Linked DNA regions of Rhinolophus ferrumequinum. The protein of the gene in region 2 purifies or fractionates together with the protein of the main gene of each other region. This does not show direct contact. Links are inferred from orthologs where the notes say so. Each region holds a gene or a part of one and is shown on either strand. Other genes may lie near its edges. The genes, in order: GNAI2, MTNR1A and GNAI3.

Region 1 (7,963 bases), on a different chromosome or scaffold from region 2:
TGTAAACCGTTCTTCTCCATTCCACTACTGAAGTGCCACCTCAGTTCTGCTGGATGTCATTTCACTGTCTTTTGTGGTCCAGTCCAGATGGTGCTGGGCTGGTGTGCACAGGGACCAGTCACACCTCCTATGGCGCGCGTGAAGCCCTGGCTAGGCAGCCACCCCTGACCCTAAAACAACATCTTTCAAAAGGACTCCTGGCTTCCCACGTGTGAAAGAAGCAGGTGCCTGTGATGTCCCTCACTGTATGACCATGGATGAGTCTTGGGCCCTCTGGCCTCAGTTGCCTCAGCTGTAAAGCAAGGAGTTTCTCCAATTCTGACCCTTGATTTTCTCCCTGGTCCTTCCCCAAAGCCACCCTGCCTCCGTGTTCCCTATTCCTGGAACACTTCTTCCTCAGTGCTCTTCTCCCTCGAGCACTCTGTACATCACCTTCCCCAAGAAGGCTCTCTGATCTTAGTTTCTCCCTTCTCTGCGCACACAACTATGGCAAATATTTTTACAGTGTCAGCAGGATTAGTTGTTCACACCTCTCCCAGTTCTAGGATCAGGGACCCCTGGAAGGGTGGGATAGCGTTTGTGTGATTCATTCATTTAAGTTGACATATATTTACCCGTCACCCTCAAGGATTATGCTGCAAGGGGTCTGGAACCAGAGACTCAGGTGGGAAAGACTCACCACCAGGACACTGGGAGTCAGAGAGGCCCAGCTCACAGCCAGAGAAGGAAAGATGGGGAAGTGGGGTGAGTGGGAAGGTGATCAGCGGGGAGGAGAAAGACAGTGGGGTGAACAGGGCAAGTCAGAATCCTGGAGTGCTGGTGTGATGCAAGTGGAGGGAGATGAGAATCTTGGGTTGGGACAGCCCATATAGGGCCTTGCAGAAATTATTATTATAACAACTCACTCCTATTGAAGGCTTTCCATGTGCCACTCATATTCTGAACATTTCACCTACATTTCCTTTTTCTGACCTCAGCCAGTGAGGTGGGTAGATAGTAATGTTAGGCCCATTTTACTGATAAGAAAACTGAGGCACAGGGAGGTACTTGTCCAAAATAATACACAGCTGGCAAGTTTGCCGACTGCTCCCCAGAGTCCTTGTAGTCAATCTCCACTCTACCACCTCTATCTCCTGCACAGTCCAAACAGTGTGTGTGGGTTTTATCCTCAGGGCACGGGGGAGCCACAGAAGGTTTGTGAGCAAGAGAGTGATATGATTTCTTTCAGCAGGATCCCCTTGGCTGCCATGTAGAAGATGGACTACAGGGAAAACAGCAGAGCCAGGGAGGAGTCTGGAGGCCTAGAATAAGGGACTGTGGGAATAGAGAATAGGTACACATTTGAGGGAGAGTTGAGGAGGGGAAGAAGCTGACAGGATGCAAGGGTGGGGAGAGAAAGTCATAGCTCTGGCCTGTGAGAAGTCACAAGGTTGTGAGCCCAGGAGCAGGGCCAGTGGGGCTGTCCAAAGTGTCTGAGGGAGGCTTCAGAGCAATGGTGGACACTGGGTTGGTGACCAGGGGAGAAGCTGGGTTGGAGATGACTGTGTGGGGTTCTGCTGAGCCACTGGAGTGGGAGGTATGTGACTGGAGTAGCAAACAGTGGTCTAGCCAAAGCCCTAGGGACCCCCATGGATATGGAGAGGGAGCAGCCGGGAGGGATGGAAGTAGGGGTTGCTGGACTTTCTAGGAAGAACACATAACTGGAAGGGGGTGGCTAACTGGTGGGAAGGGTGCAAGGAATACACGAGACCTGGCCTGGGGCTGGGGAAAGCCATATTTCCCAGTGGCCCCATCCTGCCCTCCCTCCATTAATTGGGGTCTCTGTCTACCCACCGCTGTTGAGCCTGGCCTCTAGGGAGCTGACAGGTTCTCCCTGTTGCCGGGCAACTGCAAGAGCTGTTGGCTGTTGCTAGGAGCAGGCTGGGGAGGCCTGAGAAGGGAGGATCAGCTCTCAAGCGCAGGGCTGAGCTGGTGGGGGAAGAGGCAAGTCTGGTCACAGACAGGCTGTGTTCTTGGCTGTGTGCACCCATTTTTATAGTCTTCTGTGGTTAGAGGCATGTATAGAGCATATCTCTGAGTGTCTGTGTCACTGGGTGGGCATTATGTGTTTTCACCATGTTGCATGCTTGTGGCAGTGCCTGTCTGAGCTTTGGCTCCAGGAAGGAGGGAGCCCAGGGGGAACCGTTGGAGGACTTACAGGCCAATGGCTCCTCAACAAGGGAGCCATTCAGATAGGGATACAGACACTCCAGGGGGAGCAGACAGCCTGAGGACTGGGAGCTGAAACAAGATGTGTGCCAGGGTAGGAAGGAGGGAGTCTGCTGAACAGGGGCTGTGGGTGGCCAAGCGTTGGTGACCGAGCATTGGTGGCCAGTTCCCCTCCTGGCTTTGTTGACCTTTTCTGTCTTTGGGTTGGGGCCATCTCGGCTATTGCACTAGATACACTGCTGCCTCCACCCCACCTTTGCCCCGTCATAGGGTTGTAGCCACTGTCTAGTGGAGTCAGGCCATAAGATCATGGCCACTTATATTTTCAGAGGTCAGTTGGCATCTCTCTCTCTGTCTCTCTCCTCCTCACTTGGGTCCTGGTTGCGGAGACCCAGGCTGGAGTCCAGGATGCCTACCTGCTGGAGAATGCCTCCTAGAAGAACTGAGGATAGAGTAAGTCCTGGATGACTAGAAAAAGCAAAGATGTAGAAGTGGCAATAGACTTTTTGTAAAAATTGCAACCCAGAAAGAGAAGGGGAGCAAACCCTCCTTAGGACGGAGAAAGCCGCAGTCCAGAGAGACTCTGGGCTCTGTAGATCCCAAAACAAGTTTATTGGGTTTATTAACTTTAACAAGTGCGAGGACACGCCTCCTCCACCCGGTTCGCGCAACTCGATGAAGCTCGGAGGGCTGCTTCCTGCTCCGCCCGCAAGGTGCACCCGATCTCCACCCTCAGGCTACGAGATCCTCCCGCCCCGCGGTTGGGCTGCGCCCCAGGAGCTCCGCACCCAATCGGATGCCGGCCCCGCCTGCAGCCCGCCCCGAGTCCTATCCCTCTGGGCTTGGCGATACCTCTACGGCTCTCCCTCGGCGTGGCTCCGCCTCCAGCCCGCGCCCGAGCCTGGGCTGCGCCTAACTCCTTAGTTCCGCCCTCGAACCAATCGCTGGCCCGAGATCTCCTGTGGCCCCGCCTCCAGACCCGCCCCTGCCCAGTGCCGGGCCTGGCTCGTTCCGGCCCCACCCCCGGCCCGCCCCGCCGTCGGTGCGCGGAGCCCTGGAAGGCACCGCCCGCAGACGCTCGCAATTGCCGACCGGAGAGCTACCCGAGGAGAGCCGGCGGCGGGAGCGGAGTGGGTTGCGCGCGGGGCCAAGCCGGGCCGGGGGCCGTGTCGGGGCCGAGCGGCGGCCGGGCCGGCGGACGGCAGGATGGGCTGCACCGTGAGCGCCGAGGACAAGGCGGCGGCCGAGCGCTCCAAGATGATCGACAAGAATCTGAGGGAAGACGGAGAGAAGGCGGCGCGGGAGGTCAAGTTGCTGCTGTTGGGTGAGGCCGCGCCCTGCGCTGGGACCCCCGACTCCCCGCCCAAAACCCCCAACAAGGACTTTGACCTCCAGGCTAGGGCTTTGAACTCCCAGACTCGGCCTGGACCCCCACATCTGAATTTGAACCCCCAGACCTGGCCTGGCCAGGACAACCAAATAATGATTCAAAAGTCTGGGTTGGTCCAGACCTCTGATCTATAGCCCAGAGTCGAGGTTAGACCTTCAACTCATTCCAGTCCCCAAAGCCGGCCCCCAGTGCCTCAACATAAGCTGCTCAGAACCCGGCTTGAAAATCCACCTTTACTGACCAACCTCACAGACCCTCAGAGCCGCTGCCTGTCCTCATCCTTCCCTAGACTTTACCCAAACCCCCAGAACCCTACTCGGCCCCCAGACTGCTCACCGTATTCCGTTCGGTGGAAGTATCCTCAAGGCCCCTGCCTGGCCCCCTTTCCCTCCTTCCCGCTCTGTTCCCCATCTCTACACGGCACCCTGTATCCTCCACCTGTGCACCCTGATCCCAAGGGGCCTCTCAAGTGGGAAACCATAACTGCTCCTGAGCCCTCTCTCCAGCTGGAACCCCCAAACCCTTAAAGACCTCTGCTGCCTGCATCTGGCCCACCAGGTCTCTGCCCGCATCACTCCTCAGACCCGCTGTTTCCCCTCCGTGAAGTCCTCTTCCACACTTCGGCCTTTCCCAGAGTCCCCCACCCCTCCTGCACTGGATGGGCCAGGCTGGGAGGAGGTGGCCCAGACCCCCAAGGGGTCCGACTAAGGCTTCACTGGTCCCACTTGGGGAGCCCGGGCCTCTGCATCCCAGGGCTGTCCTTTTCCCAGTTTCTAAGCCGGGTCTGGGCCGGTGAGGGGGAGGTCTGGGGGGTAGGAGGGAGTGTGGAGGAGTTGGGGTTGTGGCGCCTCCAGGGCCAGGGAAGATGGTGGCTGCTTGAGAGGTGGGGGAAGTGGAAGTGGTAAGACAGCGAGCCGACATATTGCTGCCCTGGCGGGCGGGCGGGCCGAGGAGATCTGCTGACGGGTGCCAGGCTTCCTGCACGCCTCTGGGCCTAACGGCCTGGGATGTGGCCTCCGGGAGGGGGTGGCCTGTTGGATCTTGAGGCCGTGTGAGGAGCGAGTGGTGGACCAGCTGGATGGGGGGTAGGGGGTAGGCGGGGGGCACCTGAGGTGGACTTTTACAAAGCCTGTGGGCCCTGTAGTTGTCCCCATCCAGCCTCCCACTGGGAGCAGGTGTGGTGCCCAGTGGCAGCCTGATTTGGGGGAGGTTTCGGGCTTGGAGGGAGGGAAGCCCCTGGCAGCAGCATTGGAGGCTGGACAGTGTATGGGGGGGTGTGGCCCCTCAGCCTCAGAGCTGCTGTGGGGTCCCAAGCTGTGAAAAGTGGGGCTTTTCATGCTGGGCGTATGGCCGAGGGGCCTATGGCCGAGGGACAGTGTGTCTTTCGTCATGCGTCCATCTGTTGACTGTCCCTGGGGGCCTGGCCTCGGGGGCACAGCCCCGAGGTTTCAAAATGGCATCCGCTCCAACGCTGCGGGAGGAAGAGAAGGGGCGGGAAGGGGCGGCGGCCCAGCCTCCTGGGCTGTTTTGCGTTGGGCGCTTGCCTCTTCCTGTCTCTGTGCTGCGAGTACAGCGGCAGTGAGTGGGTGTCGCCGATGGAATGCCCGTGGCTGCTGCCTGCTGGGCCTGGGAAAGGTGCTTCTGGTCCTGCTGCCTCCCAGTGCCCGACCAGGGGCCTCTAGCCAGCCCCTTGGCAGGCCCGTCAGAGTTATTGTGGCAGCTGAGATGTGGGACTGGGCCATGGGGCGGGGGGACACAGGGCTTCTGGGCTGTTCTGTGTCTGGACCGCATCCCACCAGTCTTGCTCCTAGGAGCCTGGCTCAGGTTTTGGGCCTGGCAACCCCTCCCACACTGGGCTGTCACAACCAGGGGTTCAGGGTACGGCTCAGCATTTTCTAGGCTGGGGAGTCCATTTCAGCATCCTGCCCCTCTGGCTTTGCTTCCCTCCCCATCCCCTACCCCCATGAAATGGGCTTCCTGGGTTTGGGCCAGAGGAGTGCCTGGGTCCAGGCTGGGGAGAAGAGGGGCTCGTGGAGGAGTGTGGGGGTGGGCGCTAAGACCCTGCAGACAGTGCACTGCTAGGGTCTGGGAGACTCAGCTCTGCCTGACATTGAGGACCCAGTCTGCCATGGCTGCGTGGGGAAGGGTCCTGGCTGGCCGTCCCTTTCTTATCCAGGTAGAGGAGGTGATGGGAGCCCAGCTGGGGCAGCTTCGGTGCTGGGCACCTGTCCCACATAGCGGGAAGGACTCTATCCAGGCAACGGGACTCAGGTTGGGCAATTGCCAGCCTTCCTTCCCAGACAGAACCACGCCTGCTGCCCCACCCACATACTGGCTCCTTCCTGTCCTGGATAGTCCTGGGTAGCCCTGCCAGCAAATGGGCACAGCACTGTCACCTGTGCAGAGGCAGGTGGGGTCCACACTGGTGAGAGGGTTTTTCCTGGCAGCCTTGCTGTGGGGAGCAGAGTTGCCAATACCAGCCCTACCCGAGGGATAACCCCCAGCCCCACCTGCTATCCACAGGTGGAATTTGGGGCCTTGGGCTGAGCACTTAGGAGAAAGGAAGCCAGAGTGTGTGTTTGGGGGTGTCTGTGACTTGGGATGGGCTTGAGAAAGGAGAGACAGTGCCCATCGTTGTCTCCATGGAGGCTTCAGGTTGTAAATACAGCGGTTCTCTCTTGCCCCTGGCACTTGGCATCTGTTTCCTTCCCCTGATGTGCGCGGTATACTTTCCCCATGTCCTTCTCACTCACTCCTACTTGGTTGTTCTGCAGGACTCAGGGATCTCACCCCGATCCTTCCGTGACAACCTCCTTCACCACGGCCGGGAAGCACTTTCTCTGGCTCCTGGCACTTCTGTCGTCAGAGCATGGTCTTTGCCATGGGTCACAGCTGCCCTCCTTTGAGACTACAGGGGCAGGGCTGTGTCCTGTTCATTTCTGAGCCTTCCATGCCAAGCACGGAGCCTGGCACCTATTGGATATTTCTTGTCTGTTTGTTGAATGAAGGGAAGTGCTACTGGTCTGAATTTGGCCTTGGGGGTGGGTAGATGGAGGAGTAAGATGGTGGTCACTGAGCCACAGCCTGGCGTATCATGGGCAGGTGGCAAGGGCTCAGTATAGAACCAGTGACTGGTGATGGTGGTCGTGATGGGGGACAGTGAGAGAAAAAACCTTGGGTTTTTTTTTTCCTGGTCTCGCCACAGGCTATGCTGGCACCTCAGAGACAGCCCTTACTCCACTGCAGGCGGAACTTTTGCTGACCAGGCTGCAGCCTGTCACAGGGCACAACACACAGTAGGGCCTCCCACTGTTGCTAGGGGAGAGTGGCTTTGCAGTATTCCTTTCAGCTCAGGCTGTTCGGGGACTGTTGCAGGCCTGTCTGGCAGTGCTACTGGAGTTCCTGGCCTGGCCAGTGCAGACTAAATATGAGGGATCGATTAGGTTTACCAGAAGAAAAGGAAGGGTGTTTTGTGGCCTTTGTCCTGTCTATGTCTCTAGCAAAGGGCTTGGCACACTGGGTGCCTAATAAGGGTGTATGGGAAGAACAAAGCTATTGAGCATATCTATGAACTGGGATAAGTAATTCTGGGGCCGCTGCTTGGGGCTTAGTGTAGCTGGAGATAGTGGGAAATGCTAACGTGGGATCCTGGCTGGCTGGGTAATGGGGAAGGGTGCTTCCTGGAGAAGGGGTCCTCTGGGTGGCCTTGAAAAATGACAAACATTTATTACGGCCAGGCATTGGGAGCAGAGGGACCAATTCAGCAAGGGCGCTGGGGGTGGAAGGCCTGGTGTAGGTTCCCGAGCCCTTCCTTGGGTAGGTGTTTCCTAGCCTAGAGAAGGAGGTCTCACCCTCTCTACACCAGCTCTTGGGGTCCCCAGATCTGGGTTCAAATCCCAGCTCCACCTAGGCCACTGGCTGAGAAACCCAGGGACAGGTGAAATCCTGGGAAGCGTCGTGCTCTCCATCCATAACCTGAGGCCTGGGGTGCTTGACTGCAGCCACAGCTATTGTGGGGACAGTGGGTCACAGCTTAGAGGTGTGAAAATGGTGAGGGATCCTCTGCTGACTGCTACCAAGCTGAGAGTTTGGTAGGGAGGGATCTCCCCAGTCTAGAGGCGGGCTGGCCCCAGTGGGGAGGCCCTGGGGAACCTCCTTCCTTGCCCTCAGGCACTGCTCTCTGCTAGTGGAGAGGCTGAGGTCTGTGGACAGTTGGTGCTAGCTGGAGTGACAAACTGCCCTGGGGACCAGAAGCCCACCCTCGGGGGAGGGGGCGCTGAGCCACCTTCCTGGGGGTCTAGGTAGCTGGGCCAGCCTCCAGCTCCCTTACCCCTCCTTTTTCTCCAGCTTTTGCCATCCCGTCTG
Region 2 (7,963 bases):
AAACGTGCTCTTACTATGTGATCCAGCAACTGGTCCCCTTGGGATTTACTCAAAGCAGTTGAAAATTTACGTCTTCACAAAACCCTGCACATTGATGTTTATAGCAGCTTTATTCATAATTGCCCAAACTTGGAAGGAACAAAGATGCCCTTCAGGTGAATGGATAACTAAACTGTGGTACATCCAGACAATAGAATATTATTCAGTGCTAAAAACAAATGAGCTATCAAGCCATGAAAGGGCATAGAGGAAACTTAAAAGTACATTACTAAGTAAAACAAACCAATTTGGAAGGCTACAAACTGTAGAATTCCCACCGTATGATATTCTGGAAAAGGCAAAACTATGAAGACTAAAAAGATAAGTGGTTGCCAGAGGCTGAGGGGAAGGAAGGTTGAATAAGCAGAGCACAGAGTATTTTTACCGCATTGAAAATACTCTGTGTGACACTATAAAGATGAATACATGTCATTATGCAAGTGTCCAAACCCATGGAAGGTACAATACCAGTAGTGAACCTAATGTAAACTATGATTTGGATGATAATGATGTATCAATGTAGGTTTGTAGATAAATAAAGGTGCCAGTGTGGTGTGGAAGGTAGATAATGGGGGAGACTGTGCATGTGGGACAGGGATATACGGGAAATCTCTGTACTTTCCTTCAGTTTTGCTGTGAGCTTAAGACTGCTCTAAAAACGAAAATTTATTAACTTAAAAACCCTACTTTTCAATTCATTTAATGTATTTATTAATTCACAAATTCTTGTCCAATGCTCTCATTTTCTTATGGACTCTCTATTTCCTCTCTGTATCTCATCTGTACATCCACAGTGCATGCTGCTTGTGGGGCAGAGTCCCAGAGAGCAGTTTCCAGGCTCTCGGCCTCACGTGGAAAGGTGCTGGCTCGGGTAGTAGATGGTCATCAGCTGTGACTAGTTGGCCATCAGCTGTACCCGGTCAGCCATTAGCCACTGATATAACTGCCGTGGCTCAGCTAACAAGCGTGGATTGCAGCTAGCAAGTTGGTTGGCTGGGTGGCAGAGAAGTGGACTGCGGATTGCAGATTGTGTGACTCCTGCTTCCTATATCTCCAATCCAGCCTCCAGCAAGAATAAAGTGGTATGAACCCCCAATCCGGGGCTCTGTTGGTGTTCCTTTTTGACCTCTCCCTATCCTGTGTTCTTATGCTGGGAGCGGGACCAGAGTCCCTGCATGACACTGCTATTTGCAGGTTAAGGGCTATGTTTTGAGCATGGTGCCAAGTACATAAAATATTTACCGAACAACTACATTAATGAATGAAAGGAAATTTATTTTAATTTAGTACTTTCCCGTGAAGGCATGGATATAGGAAAGTTACAAAAGGGAAAGTGGAAGCTGGAGTCACCTGAGACACAGGTGGATTTATGTATTTCCTTGATAAGTACCATTCTTTGGCTGCTTTATTGGAAAGGTCCAGGTTTGCCTTGCCACATGGCAAACACTTATGGAATGACTCCCAAAGCCTGGTGGCTGGTAGAATTGAGGTTGTAGAATTCGTGGACACTTTCAAAGGTCAAGTGAAGTTATTTTTAAAAGCTATAGGGTGAGTATGTGCCAAACATAGGCTTGGATGTCTGCAGGGAGAGGTTGGCAGGTTTGATGGCTACAGGTGTTTAGGACCTGTACTGCTCTGGGAAGAAATCTCGGAGAGAACTGCCTGAGTGTGGCTATAGAAGCAAGGTTGTGGCTAATTTGAAACTTCAGTCCATGATATTTGAAAGCAAAACGAAAAGTTTATATTTGCTCTGAATCAGCAGGCCAGTGCAATCTTCTGTCATTTCAAACCGGCAACTTCTTCCATTCTTGTTCTGATTACCCGGGGAAGCCAGCGGGGCTGCACAGAAGTTAAGGACAAGAACTTGGAGTCTTAAGGACAGCTTTCGAGAAACCTCAAAAGAAAAGTAATTGTTGGGAAAGATGATCAAAATTACGGATGACAGTGTGTGGAGTGGAGCGCGGGGGGGAGCTGGGAAAATGATTTCTGTTTCATGGACAGTGCGATACCTCACTGAGAACGTTCCTTGATTTTTTTCTTTTTTCCCCCAACTCTTACTATCTGTAAGTTAGATAAGTTAGATACTCTTTGACTCGCAGTTCACAGATAAGGACACTGGGGCATATGATGGCTAATGAACTAGCCTCAATCCGAGATAGGCTTGGGGCCCATGCAGTCTGGCCCTGCTTGGTGAAATGTCCCAGAGCGAAAACACGATGAACGGAATCACGACCTTCCCTAGGAAGGCTTCTCTGGACTCACTGCTCTTTAGGGTGCAGGCGGTTGGGCCCAGGCAACCCGCACGGGGGCGCTGTCCACACGTAGTGCAGGGATCCAGTCTTGAGCCCTGCAATCCAAGGAGCCCGAAGTGAGGGCTGACGCCAGGTGTTACCAGGCTGGGGCTGCAGGTGCAGAGTCCCGCCGAGGGGAGGCGGTGGACCCCGCAGGGCGGCTAGGAAGGAGCATTTGGGATGGAGAGTGGACGCGGGAAGGCCCGAGGAGCCATACCAGTGGAGGAGCGGGCTCACGCCGCCCTCCAGTAACTTGCAAAGGCGGTGGAGCCGGGGTCGCCTTCCCGGGCCGCGCGATGGCCGGACGGCCGTGGGGCGCGCCGGGCGGGACCTTGAAGGGGAACAGCAGTGCGTTGCTCAACGCCTCTCAGCAGGCGCCGGGCGGCGGGAGTGGGGACGCGCGGCCGCGACCCTCGTGGCTGGCCTCCACGCTCGCCTTCATCCTCATCTTCACCATCGTGGTGGACGTCGTGGGCAACCTCCTGGTCATCCTGTCCGTGTATCGGAACAAGAAGCTGAGGAACGCAGGTAGGGGCTCCCGGGGCCGGGCAGGCTGGACGGGCAGCCCCCAACTTTCACCCGATGGCAGCTTCTCCCCTTTCTGGCCACCTTTCCAGAACGCAGCACCCCCCAGCTGTCAGTTGGCTTTTCCTAAGAAAAGTTCAATTCTTTTCTTAAAAACTGAGGATTTGGAGTAATTTTTCCTAATAGAGACCGAAGTCCATCGGCTTGCTTACCTTTAACCTGCCCGTCAAAGATGTTTTTTCATTAAACAGTAAGAACTCTTCAGTCACTAAGGGGTAGAAAATTTGGGCAGAGTCGCGTTCTTTTTATTTTAGGGGAAACACCCACTATAGTTTTCAGTTTCTGAGGTTTCTTAAATTGAAAGGCACTTGATACAGGTTGCAGAAAATTCCTCAAGAAGTCCTTTCAAATCAGATAACCAACTTACCAATTGCTTGGTTTTACATATAATTTATTTGCCCAACTTTGTGAAAATATGAGAAAAAAATAAGCTGGTAAAAAGATACTGCACTTATTTCAGTTTTGTTCTCAGCAGTAGTTTTTAGTTTTTGGCATACAATTTTAAAAGAATGATAAGCTTCTAAACATGTTTCGGAAAGTGATAATTATTCCTCCAAGTTAAACAAGTTTACATGTTAAAAATAGAAATTGTTGTAATAAAGGGTGTATTTACATATAATATACTACTAAAGCTAATTTCGTGCTGAGATAAACTTGATTTTTACTCCAGGCAATGAATTGAAATTGGTTTATTCTGGATAGGAGCCTGAGGACTGTTTGTCCATAGGACATGGGATGTTCAGATCTCTAAATGCTTAGATACCTAGCTCTTTATTTGTAGGCAAATTTATGGAAATGGATATGGAGAGGGGAAGGAATGATGCAATTACATGTTGTCAAAAGCAATATTTTTGTTCTAACCGAGTAGCTGATCAATGCTGTCATTTCTAGGAGGCCCCCCTTTTTTCCGTATTGCTTGAGACCACGCGTAGTTTAAGAATTAATTAATAAGCACCTGATAACATGAATTGAATTTGAGTTAGTTCATTGAATAATCTCACTTCCTAGGTGATTGAGTTAAACCAGAGGAATTCTGCCTTCAAGAAGCGGCTCCCAGAGGAAAGCATAGGTAGGAGCCTCCTTGGCATAGGTCTTAGTGATGGTATTTTTCAGTCTGACACCAAAAGCAAAAACAACAAAAACAAAAATAAACAACTGAGACTACATGAAACTGAAAAGCTTCTGCACAACAAAGGAAACCATCAACAAAATGAAAAGGCTGCTTATTGAATGGGAGAAAATATTTGCAAATTATCGGATAAGAGGCTCACATCTAAAAATGTATAAAGAACTCATACAACTCAATAGCAAAAAAAAAAAATATCCAATTAAAAAATGGGCAGATGATCTGAATAGACATTTTGCCAAAGCAGACGTAACGACCCACAGGTACATAAAAGGTGCTCATCATCACTAATCATCAGGAAAATGCAAATCAAAACCACGATGAGCTATCACCTCACACCTGTTAAGAATGGCTATTATTAAAAAAGAAGAAGTAACAAGTGTTGGTGAGGATGTGGAGAAAAGGGTACCCTTGTGCCCTATTGGTGGGAATGTAAATTGGGGCAGTCCTTATGGAAAACAGTACGGAGGTTCCTTAGAAAATTAAAAATAGAACTACCATAGGACCCAGCAATTCCACTTCTGGGTATTTTTCCAAAGGAAATGAAAACACTAACTTCAAAACATAGCTTCACCCCCGTGTTCACTACAGCATTCTTTACAGAGCCAAGATATGAAAACAAGCTGTATTCATTGATGGATGAGTGGATAGTGAAATTGTGGTATATTTACAATGGAATGTTATCCAGCCATAAAAAAGAATCAAATCTTTCATTTGTGACACATGGATGGACCTCTAAGGTATTATGCTAAGTGAAATAAGTCTGACAAAGAAAGACGAATACCATGTGATCTCTTCTATATATGGAATCTATAAATAAATACCAAAAGATACAAAGAACCAGATGCAAGGTGGTTACCAGATGCAAGGGTGGAGGGAAGAGGGAGAAATAGGTGAAGTGTTTTGAGGGTTGTTTTTTGTTGTTGTTGTTTTTTCAATTTAAATTAGTTGAATTAAAGAGAGAGAGGAAGAGAGAAAGAGACAGAGAAAGAAAGAGTATGAGAAGACCCAGTGCTATGAGCATGGTATGAGAATTATTCATCTCATACCAGGAGCAAAGCTGTGGGAGAAGCCTGCTTTCTCACCATCGCTGATTTCCTACCAGTCTCCACTACCCCCTGTATAACTGGGTTCTGGAAATGCTGGCTCTGATTATGTATTAATCTGCTTTGCAATCTCATTGCATTACTGATTGTTTTGATTCCTTGGATTAGGGTTCAATAATAGGGCTTTTGTTTTGACCTGTCCAGTGCCCACTCTTTGTACCCTCAAAGAAAAATAAAAGAAGAGAAAAAGAAGAGAAAAAAGAAGAGTCTCATTCTCTCCTAGCAATAAAAGCAGCTTTCTATGGACTAGACACAGTTTGGAGAACCATGTTAACTGAATCCTCAGGGCAGCCATGTGGTGGGGTGCCGTTGTTACCCTCTTCACAAGGGAGGAACGAGGACACAGATTGGCCATACCGACCAGAAGTAGTGGAGCAGGGTTCAAGCCACAGAGCTTGGCCCTAGAGCTCACTCTACTTCATTGCTATCAACAATTGCAGCAGTTGGGAAGTTCGAATCCTGCAGAACCTTTCATTAAAAAAAAAAAATATTCACATGCTTGGAACAATTCTATTTCTGTTATATGACAAAGAACTTATGAAAAGTGCTCCTACCACATTACTTTATATTTTGTTTATTTGTTAAACAATTTTTTGAGATGGCAGTCTATAAAATACTACATTTTTGTAGCTAACCTGAACTTTTTCTCTTTTACCGTTCACCAGCAGATTGTTGCCTGTGCTGAACTTGACTCTTTGCTTGTATCCATTGCTCAGGTAACGTAGGCTGAAGCTCACTGCCTTCTCCATTACCTTTGGCCACACTCACCATCAGTTAATCAATACTCCAGTGTAGGTCCCATTGAACATGTTCATAGCTATCTTGATTAAGCCCTTCACAATTCTGTTTGCTGTACTCTGATTGTATTTCTCTTTCCCCTTCTTTCTTTTCCCTTCTCTTCTCTTGCCTTCTCTTTTCTTCGCCCCCATGCCTGTTTCTTATTTGTTGGCTTCCAGTATTCTTTAATCACCATAATTATATTCAATCTCTTAGTAGAGATCATACTTGTAACTCAGTTTCCTGATTGTGTCTGTTGTGCATCAGAAAAAAAGAGAACCCTGAACTTATAAGCATGTCATATTCTAGAAGTTCACTTACAGATTTCTTTTTTTACAAAGATTTTTATAAAAAATATAGCTAACATACAATGTTATGTTAGTTTCAGGGGTACCCCCATAGTTATTCAACATTTATATACCTAAAGATAATGATAATGTGAGTGGAGCTGGCTGCCTGAGAAAGTAGCTCTGGCATTGGGTGAGTTGGGTGAGGTGGGTTCCTAGCTGAGTCAGCAGGATGAAGCAACGGAGCTCACCAGGCCACATTCAGATTTGGCCCGTGGGGGTGGGCTCAGCACAGGAAAGATGGCACCTGCCTGCAGGCTGCATGGGAGGAAGACATCACCCAGGGAAAATAGTGACTGTCCTACAGCCCTGCCCGGAAGCCACACACCTCAGCCTGTCCATCGCCCCCTCTGCCCATCCCATGTTTCCATGCCTCTAATGCCTCCCAAGTCACCGTCCCTCTGCTGGAGCTCAGGATGAGTGCCTGGGAGTGTGAGAGTCCGTGCACAGGACATTTAAGAGGACGTCTGGGTTTCCCGCAGCCTTCCGTCCCAACCAGATGGTCAGAATCCCCACTGTTTTCAGTCAGATGTGGGGACTCCTCTTCTAGGCACCAGTACTCTGGACTGGGGAGACCGGTGTGGAGCTGGGGTCTTGCGTCTCCAGGGGGAATCTCCATGGCTGAGATATCCCTCCTCGTTCTCAACCACCACACAGAGGTTTGGGGACAGCCAGTTTCTCGTCTACACCCCTTTTACCAGTCTTGAATGGCTCCTCTGTATTCTTAATTATAAAACTTATGTTCAGCTAGACTTCAGATGGTCCTCTAGGTTGATTGTTCTGTAATTTACTTTTAAGTTCAATGTGTTCATGGAAGGAAGCAGGCACAGTGTTTATCTACTCTGCCATGTGGATCTCTCTCTGCTTACAGATTTCTTAAAAGAAGACTTTACATGATATTTTGGCTCTTAAGCTATCTCACAAAATCATCCAAACCAATATGGCTGAAACAATACTCAGAACTTTTGGGCCACCTGTGACTCATGAGACCCTGAAAGCAACCGGCCTTGTTCTGAGTTCTGAACGTCTTGGGATCTTGGGAGAATAGGAAAAAGTAGTGTGGAAGGGACCAATGGAAGCTACACAAGCAACCTCAGAAATGTCAGGGGAGGTCTCAGGAACCAGACATGATGACAGAGGGTGAATTTAGCATCAAGGATGCGGTGGAAACAAGTGTAAGTATTTGCAGCTGCTCATCAGTCAAGTGCTCCTGTGTCCGGGACAAACATATCAGGTCCTGCAAGCAACTGTGGGAGGAGCTTGTACAGAGACTAAATCCAGAACCTAGAGTCTAGAGCTTCTTTACTGAATGGATCTGTGGTTGTAGGTGAGTCATCATGTCTCCGGACTGTTTTCACATCAGCAAAATGATGGGGTTGGAAATATCCGTGAATCCCTTCCAACCATAGTGTCCTTTGATTTACATGGTTATTAAACTCACTCTGAATTTGGAGATTATAATGCTACGAAATTGAGTAGCAATAAAGAGAATCGTGGCTATAATGACATATATGTATATAATAATAATAAGCATCATGGATCTAGGAAAGTGGGTCCTTATGAAAGTGTGCTTCCTTTGCCCTAAACTCTCTGGTTCACTTATCATTTAACTGCTAGAGAAAGTTTCTCTGCTTTATTTTCCTGTCTTAGAAATGCCCCATATAGTTTTCCCTTCTTGGAAGAAAATGAAGT
Region 3 (7,963 bases), on a different chromosome or scaffold from region 2:
CCCTTTAGATCTAGGAAAATTATCAGGTTTCTGTCTTCCTACCACTAGACTTCCTCTAGTCTAGCGCCTATTATATTGAGGGAATCCTTTAGATAGTATATACAACGGGGAGAGTCTTTTGTGATTGCAAAACATATTCTCATCTCTCCTCCCTTTTAAGATAGACTCCTAACGGAGGAATCTCATTCCTAGATAGGGGAAAACTCTTCCAAACATCACTGATCTGCTAGTAGGCCCTAAGCATTGCCAGTAGGTGGCAGTGTGTGTCCAGTGGAAACAGGAAAGGTGTCTGTAAGTGGGTAAAGGGGTGTGGGGAGGACATTCAACGTTGTCTGGCAGCCATTTTGTTAATTTATTTTGCCTTTTCCTTTGACTTTGCCCTCCAACCCTTCCTTCCCATACATCAAAGAAGAAAAATTTAAATTCAAGGATAACTCTAATTCAGGCTGAAATTTCCTGGCACTGTGATCTCACTGGCATTTATTACAGAATTTGACATATGCTGGTTCGTTTGCCATTTATTTTGAGTAGATCATGAAGGAAATAAAAGATTCTATTATGCTGAGAACTTTCCCAACAGTTTCTGCCATGACAACCTCCTAAGAGTTTTCTAGCCACTAGGATCACTTGGGTAAAGTTCGATGTGTAATCTTGAGCTGTGCAAGTTGTTCCTGGACACAATTTGACCTCCCTAATCCACGGAAGAATCAGTAACCGTCCTGTCAGTTACTTTTTCCTGCACCCTGGTCGTGTTGGGGTAACTCTCAATCCTAGATGAAAACCTTGTTGTCAGGTTTTCCCAGGTAACACAGTGGCATAGTAGTAAAGGGGTGCATTTGGAGTCAGATAAACACCTACTCACTGTGTGAAGTTGGGAAAGATGTTTAATTTCTGAGCCTATTTCCTCATCTGTAAAAATGGGGATAACATTACCTACCTCACAGGGTTGTTGTGAGGATTAAGAGATATGTGGAAGCACCTAGCCATACTTGGCAAACAGGTACTCAATAAATACTGGTTTTTCTTCCTTTTCCTCTTGCCCTTTCTCCCTGTAAGTACCGATCATGGGAAAGCAGTCCCTTTTATTGTAAGTTATTAGGGAATGGGTAGGAGACTTCAAACTGAAGAACTGGTATTAAGCTACGGGGGATGAGGCTGTTTAAGGTGGCTCTCAAGAAATCCCTCTAATTATTCAATCATTATATAGACCTTTCTGTTGGGACCTTATATTCTAAGGTTCAGATTCTATTAGGGAAGTAGTTTGAATCACAGGGAAAGGTTTTGGGGGGCTACAAGTGTTCCCCTCTCTATAATGTATGGTGTTTGTGGGTCTATTTGGCAGTAAAGATAATTTAGGGTCACCTTCCCGGTAGTACCCAACATTATGAGTGACAAAAAGACCATCAATCTGGGGCTTTCATAGGGAATTTATTCATTTTCACATGATGCTAGAGCCGAGAGGCCAATTTTACTAGAACTTCCCTTTTTGTGTGGTACCACAACAGGAAATTTCAGGAGATTCACAGGATGCACTGGTTTGTTTTGGGGTGCGGGACTGAGAGTAAGTAATGTTGGTGGACGTCCTAAGCCCCTGACGCAGACGGTATGTGAGCGATGAAACAGGCTTATATTGGGAAAAGCATGGAAATTTTATGGAGAAACTACACGCTTACCTTTCGGGTAGCATCTACTATGTGGCCCTTGGCTAACCTAGTGGCTGGGCAACTTTCAAGCCCACCGAAATTCGTACATAACGGCCCAAAGACCAGACAGCAGGCGGCAAGAGGCTAGAGGAGGAGGCAGAAAGTGATCTCTCAAGACCGAGGCATGGTCGGTCTTAGATACCGGATGTGAAGTGCGGCGGGGGCCCAGGCTCTGCAGTTTGCTCTCATCTGGCTTAGGCGAGCCCGGCAGAGAAGGTGTCCTACACTAACTTAGGCAGGGAACCCGAGTTTCCAAATCCAGAGATCAAAGGGGGCTTTCTGGCCAGTGAGAAAGTCCCAGCAGAAATTTCCGTGCGGGCTATGGGCTCTTATTTGGGAATCCCCCCCCATTCATCCAAAACAAATCTGTGTGACTTCGGGAGGGCGCCATGAAGGAAAGAAGCTAGTCCCCAGTTTTTTTACATTTATCCAAATAAGGCAGCCGAACAGGTGAAAGAGGTCTAACGTCGAGCACCGCAAGGCGAGTCCCACATGACCCGACTACTCCCGGAGAACCGCAGGCGGGCCACGCCCTTCTACTCCGGCTCCCCGTACTTCCGCTTCCGGTTGCACCTTTTCTACCCCAGCTAGAGACGCTCAAACAGGAACAGCCGCTGGGCGTTGCCGGAAGTGTCGTACACGCCGGATATCCGGTTTCTCCGGGCGCTTGGCGAGCTGACGGAGAGGGCCGCCGCCCAGCAGAAGAGGCTGTCTCGGCCGTCCGAATCGCAGTGTCCGCGGTGTGTGAGTGAGCCCGGGCCCGGTCCCCTCTCCCGCCGCCGCCATGGGCTGCACGTTGAGCGCCGAAGACAAGGCGGCGGTGGAGCGGAGCAAGATGATCGACCGCAACTTGCGGGAGGACGGGGAGAAAGCGGCCAAAGAAGTGAAGCTGCTGCTACTCGGTGAGGGGCTGGGGGCGGGGCTGGCGGGTGTCGGGAGGGCCTAGGCACTTGGGGGCCCTGAGGGAAAGGACCCCGAAGGGGGTGGAGGGCGTGAAGTACCAGGCGTAGGGTTTTGGGGTTGTAGGAATTAGACTGGAGAGGGTGTGACCGTGCTGGAATTGCGTTTAGCGAAGAGTTTGGGGCAGTAGGACCTTTAGACTGTGAGGTATGTGGGAGAAGCTCATAAAGGAAGAGAAGGATATTAGGGAAGGTTTGAAAGGGGTTGGAATGTGTTGGTGGCAAGGAGGACGGGATGGTGTGGTGGGCTTGTTTAATGGCTTGTGAGGTGAGAGCGTGGGGACACTTTCAGACAGGGTAAGTAGCTGGAACGCTTGAATAGTTGAATAATTATTATAAATAGAAAGAGAGACTAGGACAGAGTGGTCCCAAAAGGACCACCCTGTCATTTATTAGAGAGTGGACATTTTGAACTGTTGGTGAGGTGGAGGAACCCTGGATTATCCATGAACATGAAAGTGTGTGGTGGAGATAAATCCAAAGTTTTCCGGTATAAAGGAAAAGAGCTTTATACCTGAGTACAGAGACTGTATATACTTGAACACCTTTTTCGATCATTTTTATTTTCTTAAGGTTTTCTAAGTGCTTGTTTTTATAAAGGGGAGATGGTGTGAGCTGAGGAAATTTAAGGACTGGCTTATTTGAGGTTTGTGGCAAAGATGCAGTGAACAATAGGTTACACGTTGGTGTTTGTTGAACAGTTGTTAGGGATGCTGTGCAGTGGGAATGGAATTATCTTAGGAAAAATGACAGAATTGGACACACTTACTACACAGGCTGTGAGAGACTTCTGGTGAGATGTTTTATCTTTTTGGTCTCTTCAAACTAAAAATCCTGGCTTCGGGAATTACTGTTTATTTTACTTGACATACGTTTTAAGTGGCGTTTATGTGCAGTCAGATGCATTTTACTCTGCACGATTAGTTTTCACATTTTTGAGACACTGGCTTCTAGGGTTCAGTAAACCATATAGAATGCCCTGGCATCAGCTTACCAGTAAATCAAGTCACATTTCTTCACTATAAGTGTTTTCTAGAGATCTGTTGGACAATAAGTGGGAGTAATGGTTTTTGTAAGCAGTAGAACTTTACTTTTTAAAACAATGGATTTTGAGAAAAAGAAGTCACTGTAGGAGAAGTGCCAAATTTCCGTGATGTAAAGCCGGAGAGGACAGGATGCAGCACCATAACCTAATTTTGTACTCCAGTGTGTGCTGGGTGCCCATGCTAGTCTCTTCATGTTAACATGTTTGGTGGTTTGTAGATTGCAGAAGCCTTGGTAACAGCTTTTTGGATGTAGGGGGAAAGTTAGGCATTGGAGCTTGAGCTTTCAGTTGGAATACCTGATCTTTCGGAACACGTCAATTCAAATTGTATTTCTAGATTGCCAGTCTCTGTGTAATAGGTATTATTTGTGAATGAGCATGGTCTTTGGCACATAGTAGGTGCTCCTAAAATACTATGTTTCCCCCAAAGTAAGACCTAGCCGGACAATCATCTCTAATGCGTCTTTTGGAGCAAAAATTAATATAAGACCGGGTCTTAAATTATAATATATGACGGTGTCTTATATTATAATTTTAAGACCCGGTCTTATAGTAAAATAAGACCAGCTATTATATTATATTATATTACATTACATTATATTGTACCCCGTCTTAAGACTGGGTCTTATGTTAATTTTTGCTTCAAAAGATGCATTAGAGCTGATTGTCTTGCTAGGTCTTATTTTTGGGGAAACGGTGTTTATTGTTAACCAGCAGGAACCAGCTAATGTTCCATTGCTCCTGGGGCCTTTCATATGTTTGATAGAAACCACAGTGCTCAAGGCATTAGCATTGTCTGTATTGATCGGTTAGTTAATGAAATTTAAGGTGTGTCTCATCTTCGTGGGTGTTTTGATTTACATTGACCACTGGAGAGCCCCTCAGGACCTAGCCTATTGTAATACAGTTGTTAACAGTGAGGCTTTCTTCCAGATGGCAGGATTTGGCAGGCAGCACTTGGACCAGTAGAACTTGTCCAAATGTCTAGAAAAATCGTTATTCAGGACTTTATAAATAGTACACTTAATTAAAAACGAAATTAAACACATGGTGACTTAGGGAACTTCAAAAGCAGTAAAAATCAAACTACTGTGTTTGCTTTTAAATTTTATGTTTCATTGTTTTAAGTAAGATTTTTTTTATATTCTTGAGCAAGTTAAGTCGACAAATTCAAATAGATTGCACAGACAGATGCTCTTGCTTGAACCATATCATAACGCATGTGTGAAATTAAAGTTGTCTTCTTTGCTATTTTTATAAGCAAAATATAGCCATCACAGTATACAAAGAATTTTCTTACTGTAGAATACCTCTTCTGATGTACATGTAAGTCATTTTTACTTCATCACTCTGAAGCTATCGAACTAGTCTGAGTTTAGATCTACTTGCCCTTGTCTGTCCTGGCACATAATAGGTGTTCATCAAATATTACTGTATTTAAAAAAACAAACCTGGGGGATGTGTATACCTTAGTGCTTCAGAAAATCCATGACCTTTCTAAAATAGCAAACTTTATGTTATATACATTTTTCTGGTGGGCGGGGGCCATAGTGTTTCATCAGGTTCTTCCACAATATTACCTAACTTCCATTTTTTGAAGTCCCTCATCTTGGACCAGGAAAATCAGTAGCTGTGCAAAAAAGGAATGTTCAAAATGCAAAAGAAAAACATCTAGACACTGTGAAGAGTCTCTTATTTCCTCTTTGAGAGGACAGTTTTTTACTTGGAATTTTTGAGAAATGTGTTTTCTGTATGTCAGATGGCTCCTTTTTCTCCCCTTTCTCCAGTGAGTTAAGGAACTGCTCGCTGCCACTTACCTCAGGGCAATCTCTCTAGCAAACTTGCTTCCCTTCTTCGCTTCTTTCCCCTAAATCTGCTTGCAGTGAAATTTTCTGTTCCAGCATCATCATCTCAAAATTACTTAGACTGAAAATGGGATTTGATTGTTTGTTTGTTTGTTTTTTAACTCTTGCTCTCATTTTTTAACCAGTCAATTGCCAAATTTTGTGACTCAGTTGTTACCAGATTTTTGGAATTCATGGACCAATAAAAGTAATTTTTTTATTGTTGAGCGACTTATCATTCCAACATTTTCTTTTTCTTATAAATACATTTTAAAAATATTCCAGACCATCATCTATCTATTATGATTACTATTTAGTTCCCTTCATAAAACCTTTTTGATGTTCTTAATTGAATCTGATCTGTCCTTCTCTTTGAAACCTTACAGTACTTTTATGCCTCTTACAGTCTGTCTGCCTGATATTATGGTTATTTGTATACTTGGCTGCTCCTAATTATGTGGTCCTTGAGGGCTGACAACTACGTATTTCTTGTCTATCTGCTGCAGAACCTAATATAATGCTAAAATGTTTTGCCTGTGATAGAAACTCACTCATACCTGTTCCAGTCAAGGAGGGGTTTGTTGAAGGGGCACAGTAGGCAACTTCTTAGGCATCAGACATCCAAGGATAGGTAAATGAACTCCAGCTAGGTTGTGTGCAGGTGGATTGTGATTCGTGCCCCCTGCGCCCATTTCTCCTGCAGCAGTAAGGTCACTTGCTCCGGTCACTTGCTCCGCTTTATTGGTTAAGTCATCTCTTCAGATCAGCTTTCTCTGCTCACTCCCAGTTTTCAGCTCCGGCTTTCTCTGACTCCTCTGGCTTACACATGTCTGACCTGGTAGTTAAGTGCTTCACGTCTTCTGACTCAGATCCCCATTCCAGATTCCCAGGAAAGAATATCAGACTGGCCCAGCCTTGTCAGGTGCCCATCACAATCTTGTCAGCTTCGTGGGACTAGGGCAAGGTTGAGGGGGTGTTGTGAGTTCCACAAGGCTCGCCCTTTCAAGGGCTGGGTGGGTCAGATTCTCTGTGAACACGCATGGCTAGAGAGTTAACGATTAATAGATGACAGTGCCTGCCATCTTGTAGGCACTCATTCCATTGAAGTTGGACTTAATGGAATGAGATGGAATTATTGAAGAACTAAACACATCACTGCTTTAGTTTTTCATTAATTCACAAGAATATGCCTGCTAATTCTCAACATTAAGTTGCCATTTTGTATGGGTGAGAGATGTAGTTAAATTCAACTTGAGGTAGGGTGCAGGGTCTTGAACTCCCATGATCAACACATCCAACTCAGAATAGTTAGTCACCTGCATTTAATTACCTTCGATTGTAGTTCAGGCATTGATTTTTTTAAATGCATATAATCAATACAGGGTCTATGCTTCATCATCCCTGCTTTTTCCTGGCTGTCTTCCCTCCCCCGCCCATTTTTATGAGTACCAGAAAATTGTCCAAAGCTAAGGGAAGGGATAAAATGGACGGTTTTGCTCCTTGTGAATAACCTTCCTTAGAGAGGTTTTTATTAGAGAGTAGGTAAAAACATTTGGCAAAGCAGATTGCTCATAGATTTTAGCTATCCATGCTGTGTTCTCCTTATGTTTAGTTTGGTTTTGTTGTATTGGGGGGTGGGGCTTAGGAGAAGTGGAGAGTAAAAAATGCTCTAAGTACTCAGGAGCTAGTTAGTATATTAGCAGTAAAGACCAAAAAACATGTGGGTCTCATAAGAAATGTCTAGACAGTGGACACTAAATTTGTTCAGATTTCTGAAATGTGTTTTAAAATTTGTTTTCTGGTCAACAGAATACGGTAGACTATTATAGTGTATCTCTTTGAACTGGTAACTCAGTTCAGGAATAGGAGATACCAGGCAATGTAGGGCGAAGGGCAAAAAGACTGAGAATTGGGAGATCAGCCCTGATCTCTGAGCTTCAGTTTCCTTCTTCTGCACAAGAGGCCTGATTTCAGGGGTCCCTCGTCTTTGGAGTTAATATTATCAACCAGATGGAATACTTTAGCAAGTCGTTAAAGAGGCTTATTTTTGTGTTATTTCTCTTATTCTTCAGTTTGAACTTAACATAATAAAGCTATTAGGGAAGGTAGTTAGAAACCTGAAAGACTTAGGTTCGTAAAGTGCCCATAATGTAAATGTTCAAGAGAATGTAAAGAAAAGAAAAAGAAAGAAAAAGACATTGTTCTAGTATTTGATTTCCCCTCCATTTTTAACTGGCTTCGTTTTGGTATAATTCTTTTTCAGTATTTAGCAAGTTAGTTATCTTTACGTCTTTATCTATCCAGGCTATCCTGTTACCTGCCTACAATCATATGGATCATTTCTGTAATTTAAGCTGCTTGAACTGAATAACCTTGTGTTAAGATCTGTTTAATTGTACTGGTTTTGATACA

What was found.
Region 1: the proteins of MTNR1A (region 2) and GNAI2 purify together in Homo sapiens (tandem affinity purification; 3 studies listed by BioGRID and IntAct, with this or other methods). This does not show direct contact. The link is inferred for Rhinolophus ferrumequinum from reciprocal best matches to the Homo sapiens genes MTNR1A and GNAI2.
Region 3: the proteins of MTNR1A (region 2) and GNAI3 purify together in Homo sapiens (tandem affinity purification; 3 studies listed by BioGRID and IntAct, with this or other methods). This does not show direct contact. The link is inferred for Rhinolophus ferrumequinum from reciprocal best matches to the Homo sapiens genes MTNR1A and GNAI3.

What each region holds. Positions count from the first base shown.
Region 1 is NC_046300.1:6,338,709-6,346,671, reverse strand, and holds the start of GNAI2 (guanine nucleotide-binding protein G(i) subunit alpha-2), read left to right. Parts: upstream 1-3,257; 5' UTR 3,258-3,414; coding exon 3,415-3,532; intron 3,533-7,963. UniProt on the Homo sapiens protein: Guanine nucleotide-binding proteins (G proteins) are involved as modulators or transducers in various transmembrane signaling systems.
Region 2 is NC_046287.1:75,768,824-75,776,786, forward strand, and holds the start of MTNR1A (melatonin receptor type 1A), read left to right. Parts: upstream 1-2,626; coding exon 2,627-2,858; intron 2,859-7,963.
Region 3 is NC_046305.1:41,702,409-41,710,371, forward strand, and holds the start of GNAI3 (guanine nucleotide-binding protein G(i) subunit alpha-3), read left to right. Parts: upstream 1-2,349; 5' UTR 2,350-2,487; coding exon 2,488-2,605; intron 2,606-7,963. UniProt on the Homo sapiens protein: Heterotrimeric guanine nucleotide-binding proteins (G proteins) function as transducers downstream of G protein-coupled receptors (GPCRs) in numerous signaling cascades.